2 linked regions of the Anolis sagrei genome follow. The protein of the gene in region 2 interacts with the protein of the main gene of each other region in a biochemical or structural test. Links are inferred from orthologs where the notes say so. Each region holds a gene or a part of one and is shown on either strand. Other genes may lie near its edges.

The links. The genes of interacting proteins can lie anywhere in the genome.
Region 1: of the proteins of BMP1 (region 2) and CHRD, one has a biochemical effect on the other in vitro, tested with the Homo sapiens proteins (3 studies listed by BioGRID and IntAct). The link is inferred for Anolis sagrei from reciprocal best matches to the Homo sapiens genes BMP1 and CHRD.

The regions. Positions count from the first base shown.
Region 1 is NC_090023.1:261,954,192-261,961,230, reverse strand, and holds the start of CHRD (chordin), read right to left. Parts: upstream 3,050-7,039; 5' UTR 2,627-3,049; coding exon 2,428-2,626; intron 1-2,427. UniProt on the Homo sapiens protein: Dorsalizing factor. Key developmental protein that dorsalizes early vertebrate embryonic tissues by binding to ventralizing TGF-beta family bone morphogenetic proteins (BMPs) and sequestering them in latent complexes.
Region 2 is NC_090027.1:1,873,613-1,880,875, reverse strand, and holds the start of BMP1 (bone morphogenetic protein 1), read left to right. Parts: upstream 1-4,168; 5' UTR 4,169-4,383; coding exon 4,384-4,525; intron 4,526-7,263. UniProt on the Homo sapiens protein: Metalloprotease that plays key roles in regulating the formation of the extracellular matrix (ECM) via processing of various precursor proteins into mature functional enzymes or structural proteins.

The DNA of each region.
Region 1 (7,039 bases), on a different chromosome or scaffold from region 2:
TTTCCTGCTGCCCTGGAGATTAGGATGTGGAACAATGGCTCCAAACTACAGCCAAGGAGATTCCACCTGAACATTAGGAAGAACTTCCTGACTGTGAGAGCTGTTCGGCAGTGGAACCCCCTTTCCTGGAGTGTGGGAGAGGCTCCTTCTTTGGAGGCGTTTAAGCAGAGGTTGAATGGCCATCTGTTGGGGGTGTTTTGAATGCAATTTTCCTGCTTCTTGGCAGACTGGGGTTGCACCGGATGGCTCATGAGGTCTCTTCCAGCTCTAGGATTCTATGCTTCTATGCATTTTAACTATGTTGTACTTCATAGTTAGACCACACCAGGAATATTGGTTAGACCATACCTGGAATATTGTGTCCAATTCTGGGCACCACAATTCAATAAAGATATTGACAAGCTGGAATGTGTCCAGAGGAGGGCGACTAAAGTGATCAAGGGTCTGGAGAACAAGCCCTATGAGGAGAGGCTTAAGGAGCTGGGCATGTTTAGCCTGAAGAAGAGAAGGATGAGAGGAGATATGATAGCCATGTATGTGGCTATCATATGTGAGAGGAAGCCACAGGGAGGAGGGGGCAAGCTTGTTTTCTGCTTCCCTGGAGACTAGGACGCGAAACAATGGCTTTTAACTACAAGAAAGGAGATTCCATCTGAACATGAGGAAGAACCTCCTGACTGTGAGAGCCATTCAGCAGTGGAACTCTCTGCCCCGGAGTGTGGTGGAGGCTCCTTCTTTGGAAGCTTTTAAGCAGAGGCTGGATGGCCATCTCTCAGGGGTTCTTTGAATGCAATATTCTTGCTTCTTGGCAGAATGGGGTTGGACTGGATGGCCCATGAGGTCTCTTCCAACTCTTTGATTCTATGATTCACCATTTGCTTTGAGGAGAGGCAATCTGTCAGGGGTGCCTTGAATGCGATTTTCCTGCTTCTTGGCAGAATGAGGTTGGACTGGATGGCCCACCAGGTCTCTCTTCCAACTCTAGGATTCTATGATTCTAAAGTTCTCATCACACTATACCAAAAAATCTACTTAAAATCCGGTTTCTGCCTCCTACAGAATTCTGGGGTTTATAGTTTAGGGAGGAGGCTTTAACAGCATCACTAAACTACAGACCCCAGAATTCTGCAGGAGGCAGAAACCAGATTTTAGGTGGATTTTTTTTCTCTAGTGTGATGTGAAGCAAATAAATGAATAAAACCTCTAGATTGGATTACTGCAATGTGCTCTACGTGGGGCTGCCTTTGAAAATGGCTTGGAAATTTCAACTGGTCCAACAAGCAGCAGCCAGGATGTTTACTGGGGCTCATTACAGAGAGAGGTCAACTCTCCTGTTCAAGGAGCTCCACTGGCTACCGTTTATCTTCCGAGCCCAATTTAAGGTGCAGGTGCTTACCTAAAAAGCCCTAAACGGTTTGGGACCATCCTACCTGCGAGACCGCATCTCCGTCTATGAACCCACACATTCACTTCGCTCATCTGGAGAAGCCCTGCTCCCGATGCCACCTGCGTCGCAAGCACGCTTGGTGGGGACTCGAGACAGGGCCTTTTCTGTGGTGGCCCCCGACTCTGGAACACCCTCCCCAAAGATCTTAGACAGGCCCCTACATTGGCAGTCTTCAGAAAGAACTTGAAGACTTGGCTGTTCTGATGTGCCTTTCCAGAATAGGAATCTCTAATACCAAGTCCTAGAAGCACTTTAGTAGAACTAAGATTGCTGCACACTGCACACTGCACTTACTTTATAATCCTACATACCTCCTGCCACATCAGCACTTTTAATCTTGTACCCATTACTCTGGCCTGGCCCAGTTTTTATAGTGTCTTGATGTATTGTTTATTGCTTGTTGTTCATACTGCTTAACTGTTTTTAATTTGCTTTAGGTGTTGTTTTGTTGTATTGTGTTTTGAGGCCTTGGCCTATGTAAGCCACATTGAGTCCTTCGGGAGATGCTAGTGGAGTACAAATAAACTTATAATAATAATAATAATAATAATAATAATAAATTATTATTATTATTATTATTATTATTGACATTAAATGCTAATCAAGGTGGCTAGCTGCAACATTTACACCTGCCTCCAACAAACAAGAGTTCTTTCTCCCATCTTGGACATCATTCCACAGATATATAAACCCCACTTGCCTAGTTTCCAACAGACCACACAACCTCTGAGGATGCCTGCCATAGATGTGGGCGAAACATCAGGAGAGGATGCTTCTGGGAAATGGGGAAAACTCAAAATAGCAACTCAAGGATCTTGATTCTTCTTTGGTTGGCGCGACCAGGCCAGTCACACCTTCTCAGCCTGATAGGAAGGCAAAGGGGAGCCCATTCTGCTCCTCCTTTTGCCCCTTCTTCCCTCCCTCCCTCCCTCCCTTCCTTCTTCCTTCCTTGGCATGCCAGGACAGGTCCCTTTTCCTACCTGGCGCGCCTTTGGCATTCAGCAGTGGGTCCGGCGACTCGGGCTGGATGGGCAGGAGGGCTTTGGGGGCGCGGGCGAGGGACAGGCAAGGCAAGCCGAGAAGCAGCAGCAGCAGAGGAAGAGGAGGAAGAAGAGGAGGAGGAGGAGGTGCCCGGTGCGCCCTGCCTGTGCCCAGCTGAAGCAGCAGCAAGGGGGTCATCTCGGCGGCGGGAGCGGTCCTTGGAGGAGTGGTCACTCAGCGCGGCTCCCTCTGCCCCAGCCCCGCGCCCAGGAGGGTTTTATAGCAGGAGGGGGAGGAGGAAGAAGAGGCCGGAGGGGGCATCTTGGGGGGCAAAGAGAGAGGGGGGGGAGAGGGAGAGACAGAAGGAGGAGGCAGCAGAGGACAGACCCAGCGGGGGGCAGGAAAAGAGGGAGGGAAGCAAGGAAGGAGGGGGGAAAAGAGGTGGATCGGGTCCCCTCCGCTTTAGCTTCCAGCCCCCGGCCTTTGCCAAGGGAAGGAGGGCGAGGAAGCAAGCAAGAAAGCAAGCCCAAGCGGACCAGGAGCGGACCAGGAGGAAAGCTCCGCCCGCCGCCGGGGAGGGGAGGGGACTGGAGGGGTCCCCAACTTGCATCTCCCCTTCCCAGCCTCCCCTAGAGAGGCGCTTCTTCGAGGCAACAACCCTTCTCATCCCCGCACATCTTTCTCGGAGTGGTCCTCACTCCTTTTGCACCCCAATTCCATCCCGACACGCCCGTTTCGACAGTCTCCCGTGGGAATAAGGCTCAGAGGCGGCTGGCCCTCTCTTCAACTTCTCCCTCGCCCCCCGTTTGGCCTCCCCAAAGCCCCCTCCCGCGCGTGGAGCTTCCACGGGGAACTTCCACGCCCGGAGACGCGCACCGGTGTGTTTCCATGCAGGACGCGCCGTGGAAATTCGCTCCAGGTCCTGGTGGCGCAGTCGAGAGTCCCTCGAGACCTCTCTCACTTCTTTCTCCGCATCCTTGTGGCCATTTTCTCTTCATAGGAAGGAACTCTTGACATGGCACAGAATGCATTTTTGCTGCTTCTTATCAGAATGGGGTTGGACTAGATCAGGGGTCCTCACACATTTTGAAACAGATGGCCAGCTCACAGTCTCTCAAACTGTTGGAGGGTCGGATTATAATTTGGAAAAAAAACATGAATGAATTCCTATGCACACTGCACACATCTTATTTGTAGTGCAAAATACATTTAAAACAATAAAATCATTAAAATGAAGAACACATTTAACAAATATAAACTTATTAGTATTTCAATGGGAAGTGTGGGCCTGCTTTTGACTGATGAGAGGGGATTATTGTTGTTGTTCATAGAATCAAAGAGTTGGAAGAGACCTCATGAGCCATCCAGTCCAACCCCATTCTGCTAAGAAGCAGGGAAATTGCATTCAAAGCACCCCCGACAGATGGCCATCCAGCCTCTGTTTAAAAGCTTCCAAAGAAGGAGCCTCACTCCCGGGCAGAGAGTTCCACTGCTGAACGGCTCTCACAGTCAGGAAGTGCTTCCTAATGTTCAAATGGAATCTCCTTTCTTGTAGTTCCATCACGTCCTAGTCTCCAGGGAAGCAGAAAACAAGTTCACGCCCTCTTCCCTATACATAATAATAATAATAATAATAATAATACTTTATTTATACCCCGCTACCATCTCCCCAAGGGACTCGGTACGGCTTACATGAGGACGAGCCCACAATACAAGCAATACAAGCAGTAACAAATACAGTACAAAGCAATTAAAATAAATCTCATACACAAATAGCATAAACATTGGACAAGGTACAGTGTACATTTAAAATCTATGGCTGGGCCAGATGTAGTTGAAGTTTAAAAAATAATGCTAGGCATGAACAAGATAAAGGAGGTGGGGCGTTGATGGAGACATACAAGCAGACCTAAATCGGTATAAAGTGCTTTTGGAGGACATAATGCTAAGGGTTCATTATTCTGGGAAGGCACACTGGAACAACCACGTTTTCAAGCTCCTCCTGAAGACTGCCAGAGATGGGACATGCCTGATGTCCTTAGGGAGTGAGTTCCAGAGTCGAGGGGCCACCACCGAGAAGGCCCTCTCTCTCGTCCCCACCAAATGCGCTTGCAATGCAGGTGGGAGCATGAGTAGGGCCTCTCCAGATGATCAAAGAGATCATGTGGGTTCGTACACAGAAATGCGGTCATGCAGGTTGGCAGGTCCCAAACCGTTCAGGGCTTATCATGTCTCCTCTCTGCCTTCTCTTCTTCAGGCTAAACATGCCCAGCTCTTTAAGTCGCTTCTCATAGGGCTTGTTCTCCAGACCCTTGATCATTTTAGTCACCCTCCTCTGGACACATTCCAGCTTGTCAATATCTCTCAATTGCTGTGGCCAGAATTGGACACAGTATTCCAGGTGTGGTCTAACCAAAGTGGAATAGAGCATGGGTAGCATTACTTCCCTTAAAATGAGACCGATCTCTTTGTGGAGTGGGAAATGGCTAAGGGAAGAAATGGTCCATTGCTTGTTGGCAGGGGACCTGCTTTGCAAGAAGAAGCAGCTTTGTACTTCAGCCTCAGTACTGTCTCATGTCTGTCCCTATCTAACACTCTAGATTAGGGGTTTCCCAACTTTGGTTTTCCAGTTGTTTTGGACCTCAATTCCCAGAAGCCTTCACTAGCCTTCCCAATGGTCAAAACTTCTGGGAGATGATGCCAGAAACACCAGAAGGATCCAAGTGTGATCTAGAGTATGGTTACTAATCATACTCAAATACTCAAATACAGTTGTTCATTCGTTCAGTCGTCTCCGACTCTTTGTGACCTCATGGACCAGCCCACGCCAGAGCTCCCTGTCAGCCGTCACCACCCCCAGCTCCTTCAAGGTCAGTCCAGTCACTTCAAGGATGCCAAATACAGTAGGAACATGGATAACAACCTGATATGTATTTCTGCACCCATAACATCAGTTTCATGTATCCAAGTTAGATGAAATGCATCCTCTCTAGTATTTTCTAGATCCCCCAGCATGACTCTATAGCAGGCATGGGCAAACTTTGGCCCTCCAGGTGTTTTGGATTTCAACCCTCAAAATTTCTAACTGCCTAACCACCATTAGGAATTGTGGTAGTTGAAGTCCAAAACACCTGGAGGGTCGAAGTTTGCCCATGCCTGCTCTATAATATTCTTGGGCCAGCAGTCTTCTACTCTAATAGGGTTTGGTATTGTCCACAGTTTCATGTATCCATGTGAAGTCCAGGAATATATAATAATAATAATAATAATAATAATAATACTTTATTTATACCCCGCCACCATCTCCCCAATGGGGACTCGGAGCGGCTTACATGGGGCTGAGCCTGGACAACATATTACAGCAAAATAAAACCAAAACATAAACAACAAGCAACATCATCAAAATTACATGAAAAACAAACAAACATGAAAACAGTAACAAAATAACATTGTAATAAACACAATCACAATGACAGTGGGTGGGCCACATGTACAGGATAAAATGTTTAAAAACTCTAATGAGATAAAATAGAAGCAAGTTATTTGTAGGGAGCTCAAAAAACCCAGGGTTGTGAAACTAAACTTCCCATTTGGGGGTGTGTGTATATCCCCCATGGATACAGGGTCTGTACTTTATAAGCTAGATGCCTTTCTTAGCATGGACATGGACCATAAGAAGAAAAAGGAAGGTCCATGTTTTAGTCTTTCGTATCTCCAGAAAAAGACCATGGCCATCTGTCAAGAGTATTTTGTTTATGCTTTTCCTACATAGCAGGGGGTTGGATTAGATAGAATCATAGAATCATAGAATCAAAGAGTTGGAAGAGACCTCAAGGGCCATCCAGTCCAACCCCCTGCCAAGAAGCAGGAATATTGCATTCAAATCACCCCTGACAGATGGCCATCCAGCCTCTGCTTAAAAGCTTCCAAAGAAGGAGCCTCCACCACACTCCGGGGCAGAGAGTTCCACTGCTGAACGGCTCTCACAGTCAGGAAGTTCTTCCTAATGTTCAGATGGAATCTCCTCTCTTGTAGTTTGAAGCCATTGTTCCGCGTCCTAGTCTCCAAGGAAGCAGAAAACAAGCTTGCTCCCTCCTCCCTGTGGCTTCCTCTCACATATTTATACATGGCTATCATATCTCCTCTCAGCCTTCTCTTCTTCAGGCTAAACATGCCCAGTTCCCTAAGCCGCTCCTCATAGGGCTTGTTCTCCAGACCCTTGATCATTTTAGTCGCCCTCCTCTGGACACATTCCAGCTTGTCAATATCTCTCTTGAATTGTGGTGCCCAGAATTGGACACAATATTCCAGATGTGGTCTAACCAAAGCAGAATAGAGGGGTAGCATTACTTCCTTAGATCTAGACACTATGCTCCTATTGATGCAGGCCAAAATCCCATTGGCTTTTTTTGCCGCCACATCACATTGTTGGCTCATGTTTAACTTGTTGTCCACGAGGACTCCAAGATCTTTTTCACACGTACTGCTCTCGAGCCAGGCGTCCCCCATTCTGTATCTTTGCATTTCATTTTTTCTGCCAAAGTGGAGTATCTTGCATTTGTCACTGTTGAACTTCATTTTGTTAGTTTTGGCCCATCTCTCTAATCTGTC
Region 2 (7,263 bases):
ATGGGACAATGGCTTCAAACTACAAGAGAGGAGATTCCATCTGAACATTAGGAAGAACTTCCTGACTGTGAGAGCCGTTCAGCAGTGGAACTCTCTGCCCCGGAGGGAATGTGGTGGAGGCTCCTTCTTTGGAAGCTTTTAAGCAGAGGCTGGATGGCCATCTGTCAGGGGTGATTTGAATGCAATATTCCTGCTTCTTGGCAGAATGGGGTTGGACTGGATGATGGCCCAGGAGGTCTCTTCCAACTCTTGGATTCTATGATTCTATGAAATGAAAAGTTAGCATAACTCAAAAACCACTGGAGGAATTGACATCAAATTTGGACACAATACCCATATCAGGCCAATGAGTGACCATCACTCAGAAAAATACTGCGGAAGAGACTTAAATGGTCAAAAAAATAAAAAAATACACTACACTGCATGCACATAACCATATTGTTCCGCTTGACATTAAGTCCAGTCGTGTCCGACTCGGGGGTGTGGGTGGGGTGTTGGTGCTCATCTCCATTTCTAAGCCCAAGAGCCAGCGTTGTCCGTAGACACCTCCAAAGTCATGTGGACGCCATGAATGCATGGAGCACCATTACCTTCCCGCTGGAGAGGTACCTATTGATCTACTCACATTTGCATGTTTTCAAATTGCTAGGTTGGCAGAAGCTGGGGCTAACAGCGGGAGCTCATGCCACTCCCCGAATTCAAACCTGCAACCTTTCGGTTAGCAAGTTTAACAGTTCAGCGGTTTAACCCACTGCGCCACTGGGGGCTTCGGCATAACCACATGTGTATTTATGCATAAACAATATACACAAATATATACACACACATATTTATTTATTATTTATTTACAGCATTTATGCATAAACATATATACACATATATACACACACAAAACACATATACACAGACTCGGTCACAGCAACATGTGGCAGGGGACGGCTAGTGCATATAAATAAAAATGCAATGTTCATTTGTGGGATTAACACAACTCAAAAACCACTGGGCAAATTGACACCAAATTTGGACACGACGCACCTATCAGGCCAATGAGTGACCATCACTCATAAAAACACTGAAAAACACAGTGGAAGGGACTTAAGAAGCCAAATAAAAAATACATTGCAAAGCATGCGCAAAACCATATACACCCACACACATACATATATATGCAAACACACATATATACACAGATACAAAAATATATACACACACATATACACACACAAAACAGATATACACAAACTGGGCCACAGCAACATGTGGCAGGGGGCGGATAATAATAATAATAATGATAATAATAATAATAATAATAATAATAATAATAATAATAGTATCCTAGACACTAGGGAGTGTCTGACGTGTGATCCAATACAACAGCCAGCAGAATGTCTGCTGTGGACTCATCTTGTTAATAATAATAATAATAATAATAATAATAATAATAATAATCTTTTAAAAAAAGGAGACGGAGGAGGGCCTGATTCTGGCAGCACAAGAACAAGACATTCGAACCAAGGCCATCAAAGCCAGAATTGAAAAGTCAACAATAGATCCCAAGTGTAGACTCTGCAAGGAAGCAGGTGAAACAACAGATCCCATCCTCAGCTGGTGCAAGAAGATTGCGCAGACAGATTCCAAGCAGAGGCACAACACCCTTGCTCAGATGATTCATTGGAACTTGTGCCAGAAAGACCATTTGCCTGCCACAAAGAACTGGTGGGATCACAAGCCGGAAAAAGTTACAGACAATGAACACGTCAAACTATTCTGGGACTTCCGGATTCAGACAGAGTGAGTTTTGGAGCACAATACTCCTACCACATGATCGTGTTAAAAAACAAAGTATGGATCATCGATGTTGCAATCCCAGGTGACAACAGGATTGAAGAGAAACAACTGGAAATAATAATAATAATAATAATAATAATAATAATAATAATAGTCTATATCATTTACTGTGACATAGTTTTGGTGTCAGTAAAATAATAATAGGATAATAATAATAATAATAATAATAATAATAATAATAATAATAATAGGATGAAGTGCTTTTGCTCTTTGACATACAAACCTCACTGCATACTCCCACCAGTGTGAATCCTGACCTCAATAGTTTTGGGATGCAAGAAAAGTTGGTGTCTAAATATTATTCTTATTGCAATAATAGTAATAATAATAATAATAATAATAGGACAATAATGGGATAACAATAATAAGAGGATGCAGAGCTTTTGCTCTTTGACATACAAACCTCACTGCACACTCCCACCAGTGTGAATCCTGACCTCAATACTTTTGGGATGCAACAAAGTCGAGGTATAAATATTATTCTTATTGCAATAATAATAATAATAATAATAATAATAATAATAATAATAATGGGATAATAATAATAAGAGGACACAAACCTTTTGCACTTTGACACACACCCCTCCCTGCACACTCCCACCAGCATCCCAAAAACTCAGCCAGAGTGAACCCAGACCCCAGTATTTTTGGGATTATTATGATTATTATTATTATTATTATTATTGCAGTAAGAATAATATTTATACCCTGACTTTTGTTGCATCCCAAAAATAGTGGGGCCTGGGTTCACTCTGGCTGAGTTTTTGGGATGCAACAAAAGTCAGGGTATAAATATTATTCTTATTGCAATAATAATAATAATAATAATAATAATAATAATAATCATAATATACGATAATAATGGGATGATAATAATAACAATAATAATAATAATAATAATAATAAAAAGGGTGCAGACATTTTGCTCTTTGACACACACCCCTCCCTGCACACTCCCACCAGTGTGAATCCAGACCTCAATACTTTTGGAAGGCATGAAAAGTTGGTGTATAAATATTATTCTTATTGCAATAATAATAATAATAATAATAGGATAATAATGGAATAATAATAATAAAAGGATGCAGATCTCTTGCACTTTGACACACACCCCTCCCTGCACACTCTCACCAGCATCCCAAAAACTCAGCCAGAGTGAACCCAGACCCCACTATTTTTGGGATTATTATTATTATTATTATTATTGCAATAAGAATAATATTTATACCCTGACTTTTGTTGCATCCCAGAGTATAAATATTATTCTTATTGCAATAATAATAATAATAATAACAGGATAATAATAGGATAATAATAGGATAATAATAGGATAATAATAGGATAATAATAATAATAATAATAATAATAATATAGGATGATGATAATAATAACAGGAGGAGGGGGATGCAGACCTTTTGCTCTTTGACACACACCCCTCCTTGCACACTCCCACCAGCATCCCAAAAACTCAGCCAGAGTGAACCCAGACCCCACTATTTTTGGGATTATTATTATTATTATTATTGCAATAATAATAATAATAATAATAATAATAATAATAATAATATAGGAGGAAGATGCAGACTTTTTGCTCTTTGACACACACCCCTCCTTGCACACTCCCACCAGCATCCCAAAAACTCAGCCAGGGTGAACCCAGACCCCACTATTTTTGGGATTATTATTATTATTGCAATAATAATAATAATAATAATAATATAGGAGGAGGATGCAGACCTTTTGCTCTTTGACACACACCCCTCCTTGCACACTCCCACCAGCATCCCAAAAACTCAGCCAGAGTGAACCCAGACTCCACTATTTTTGGGATGCGACCAAAGTCGGGTGAGTTTGGCTTGACTTGGGGGGGTGTTGGGAAGAGCCCCCTTTCCCTTTGGGTGCCTCTCCTCCTTCCTCCTCCTCCTCCCCTTCAATTGCCACGCAACCCTTTGGCTTCTCCTTTGCCTTCAGCAGATTTTTGCTGAAACTTCTCCTCTCCTCCTTCTCCTCCCTCTTTCTGTATTATTTTTTCCTCCTTTTTTTCCTGAAAAGCTTCCAGGCAGAGAGAGAGAAAGAGGAGATCTCTGTCCTAAAATGCCCTTCTCTCCTTCCCTTCCTTCTTTCCCTTCCTCCCTCCATCTTCCCTGAAGAGAGGAGTGGGGGTCCTCCTGGACTTTCTTCCCCCTCCAGCCCCCTCCACCCAGCTTGGGGGGAGAAAAAAGGGGGCTGAGCCTTGGGATTGGAGCCCGCCCCTGCTCGCAAAGAGAAGAAGGGAAGGAGGGAGGGGAAAAGAAGGGCAGAGGAAAGAGAGAGAGAGAAGGAGGGAGGGAGGGAAGGAGGGAAGGAAGGAGGAGGGAAGCCCTCCCATCTCTTCCCACTTCTCTCTCTCTCTCTTCCCCCCCCTCCTCTCTCTCTCTCTCTCTCTCTCTCTGTCCCCTTTCCCACTCCTGCTTCTTTCCCCCATTCTTTCCCTCTCCTGTCATTGGTCTCGCGTGTTTGTGGCGTTCCGTGGGTCATTTCCCGGGACGCGCCAGCATGCCTGCCTCCCGTGGGGGCTTGCTTGTCCTTCTCTCTTGCCTGGTCCTGGGACAAGCTTTGGATTTTACCGACTACAGTGATGTTTTGGAGGAAGAGGAAGAGCCAGAGCCCATTGACTACAAGGATCCTTGCAAAGCTGGTAAGGACAAGGCTTCCCATTGCCCTAGACTAGAGAGAAAGAGAGAGGGGTGCCTGGGCTGCTCACCTTTGGGGTCTCCTTACCTGCATGGACTCTCCCTGGAGCCCCTTCTTGCTGGGACAGAAGGATGGGACTGTCAGGATGGGGGTCTTTTGGGTCTACACAACAAGGGAGCATAGTGGGACTGTCAGGATGGGGGTCTTTTGGGTCTACACAACAAGGGAGCGTGATGGGACTGTCAGGATGGGGGACTTTTGTGTCTACACAACAAGGGAGCATGATGGGACTGTCAGGATGGGGGACTTTTGTGTCTACACAACAAGGGAGTGTGATGGGACTGTCAGGATGGGGGACTTTTGTGTCTACACAACAAGGGAGTGTGATGGGACTGTCAGGATGGGGGACTTTTGTGTCTACACAACAAGGGAGTGTGATGGGACTGTCAGGATGGGGGTCTTTTGTGTCTACACAACAAGGGAGCGTGGTGGGACTGTCAGGATGGGGGACTTTTGTGTCTACACAACAAGGGAGCATGGTGGGACTGTGAGGATGGGGGTCTTTTGGGTCTACACAACAAGGGAGCGTGATGGGACTGTCAGGATGGGGGACTTTTGTGTCTACACAACAAGGGAGCGTGGTGGGACTGTCAGGATGGGGGTCTTTTGTGTCTACACAACAAGGGAGCGTGGTGGGACTGTCAGGATGGGGGGTCTTTTGTGTCTACACAACAAGGGAGCGTGATGGGACTGTCAGGATGGGGGTCTTTTGTGTCTACACAACAAGGGAGCATAGTGGGACTGTCAGGATGGGGGTATTTTGTGTCTACACAACAAGGGAGCGTGATGGGACTGTCAGGATTGGGGTCTTTTGTGTCTACACAACAAGGGAGCGTGATGGGACTGTCAGGATGGGGGACTTTTGTGACTACACAACAAGGGAGCGTGATGGGACTGTCAGGATGGGGGACTTTTGTGTCTACACAACAAGGGAGCGTGGTGGGACTGTCAGGATGGGGATCTTTTGTGTCTACACAACAAGGGAGCGTGGTGGGACTGTCAGGATGGGGGTCTTTTGTGTCTCTGGAGAGCCTGGACCCAAGTCCAGCCCATTGCTTAGCTGGCATCTGGCAGGCAAAACAAAGGAGGGAAAGTTTCCCTTCCAAACCCAAGCCCCATCTCTGGAAACAGAGCCACACAGCCCGGAAAACGCACAACAACCCGCTCTGACAATGCACGAAACACCATTTTCCCAAAGCTTCTCAAAGTTCAGACCCCACGAAACACCGTATCTCTCTTTTCCCAAAGCTTCTCAAAGTTCAGACACAACAAGAAAAGCCTCTTTGTCCCGAGGAAAAGTTTCCAGCTTGGAGAAAAGTCAGGCTTTGTGGACTTTGTCCCACCCCCCCCCCCTCTTATTCCAAAAGGAAATTCAGCTGAGCATTGATGTGTTTTCCTCTCTGTCCCTCCAACAATGCCTTGTGTGACAGGGGCTCTTTGTGCGGGCAGGGTGGCAACGGAAAGGGACCTGTGTTTGGGGGGTGTTTGTGGGTCGCAAGGGAAGTAAACACAGGCAGAGCCCAGGATGGCGGAGGCGGTCGGACTGGGCCGGCACACTGTGTCCTCCTCTTTTGGGGACAGAATTCTCCGCTTTGGGCAGAATCTGTCAACGGTGAGAGACACTGTGGCCGAGGAAAGGCATTGGATAGCCTTCGGTCAGTGGTTCCCAACTTTCCTAATGACCCAATAGTATAGTTCCTCCTGTTGTGGTGACCCCAGAGCCCAGGATGGAGGCATTCGGACTGGGCTGGCACACTTCGTCCTCCTCTTTTTGGGGACAGAATCTGTCAATGGAGAGAGACACTATGGCCAAGGAAAGGCATTGGATGGTCAGTGCTTCTCCACTTTCCTAATGCCACGACCCCATAGTATAGTTCCTCCTGTTGTGGTGACCCCAGAGCCCAGGATGGAGGCATTCGGACACACTTTGTTCTCTGCTTTTGGGGACAGAATTCTCCACTTTGCAGATGGTTTGAGGGCAGAATATGTCAACGGAGAGAAACATTGTGGCCGAGGAAAGGCATTGAATGGCCTACGGTCAGTGTTTCTCCACTTTCCTAATGCCACGACCCCGTAGTATAGTTCCTCCTGTTGTGGTGACCCCAGAGCCCAGGATGGAGGCATTCGGAGTGGACCGGCACACTGTGTCCTCCTCTTTTGGGGACAGAATTCTCCGCTTTGCAGATGGTTTGAGGGCAGAATATGTCAACAGAGAGAGAGACTATGGCAGAGGAAAGGCATTGAATGGCCTACAGTCAGTGTTTCTCCACTTTCCTAATGCCACGACCCCATAGTATAGTTCCTCCTGTTGTGGTGACCCCAGAGCCCAGGATGGAGGCGTCGGACTGGACCAGCACAATGTGTCCTCCTCTTTTGGGGACAGAATTCTCCACTTCGGGCAGAAACTATCAACGGAGAGAGACATTGTGGCCGAGGAAAGGTATTGGATGGCCTTCGGTCAGTGCTTCTCCACCTTCCTAATGCCATGACCCCATAGTATAGTTCCTCCTGTTGTTGTGACCCCAGAGCCCAGGATGGAGGCGTTCGGACACACTGTGTCCTCCTCTTTTGGGGACAGAATTCTCTGCTTCGGGCAGAATCTGTCAACGGAGAGAGACACTGTGGTCAAGGAAAGGCATTGGATGGTCAGTGCTTCTCCACCTTCCTAATGCCACGACCCCA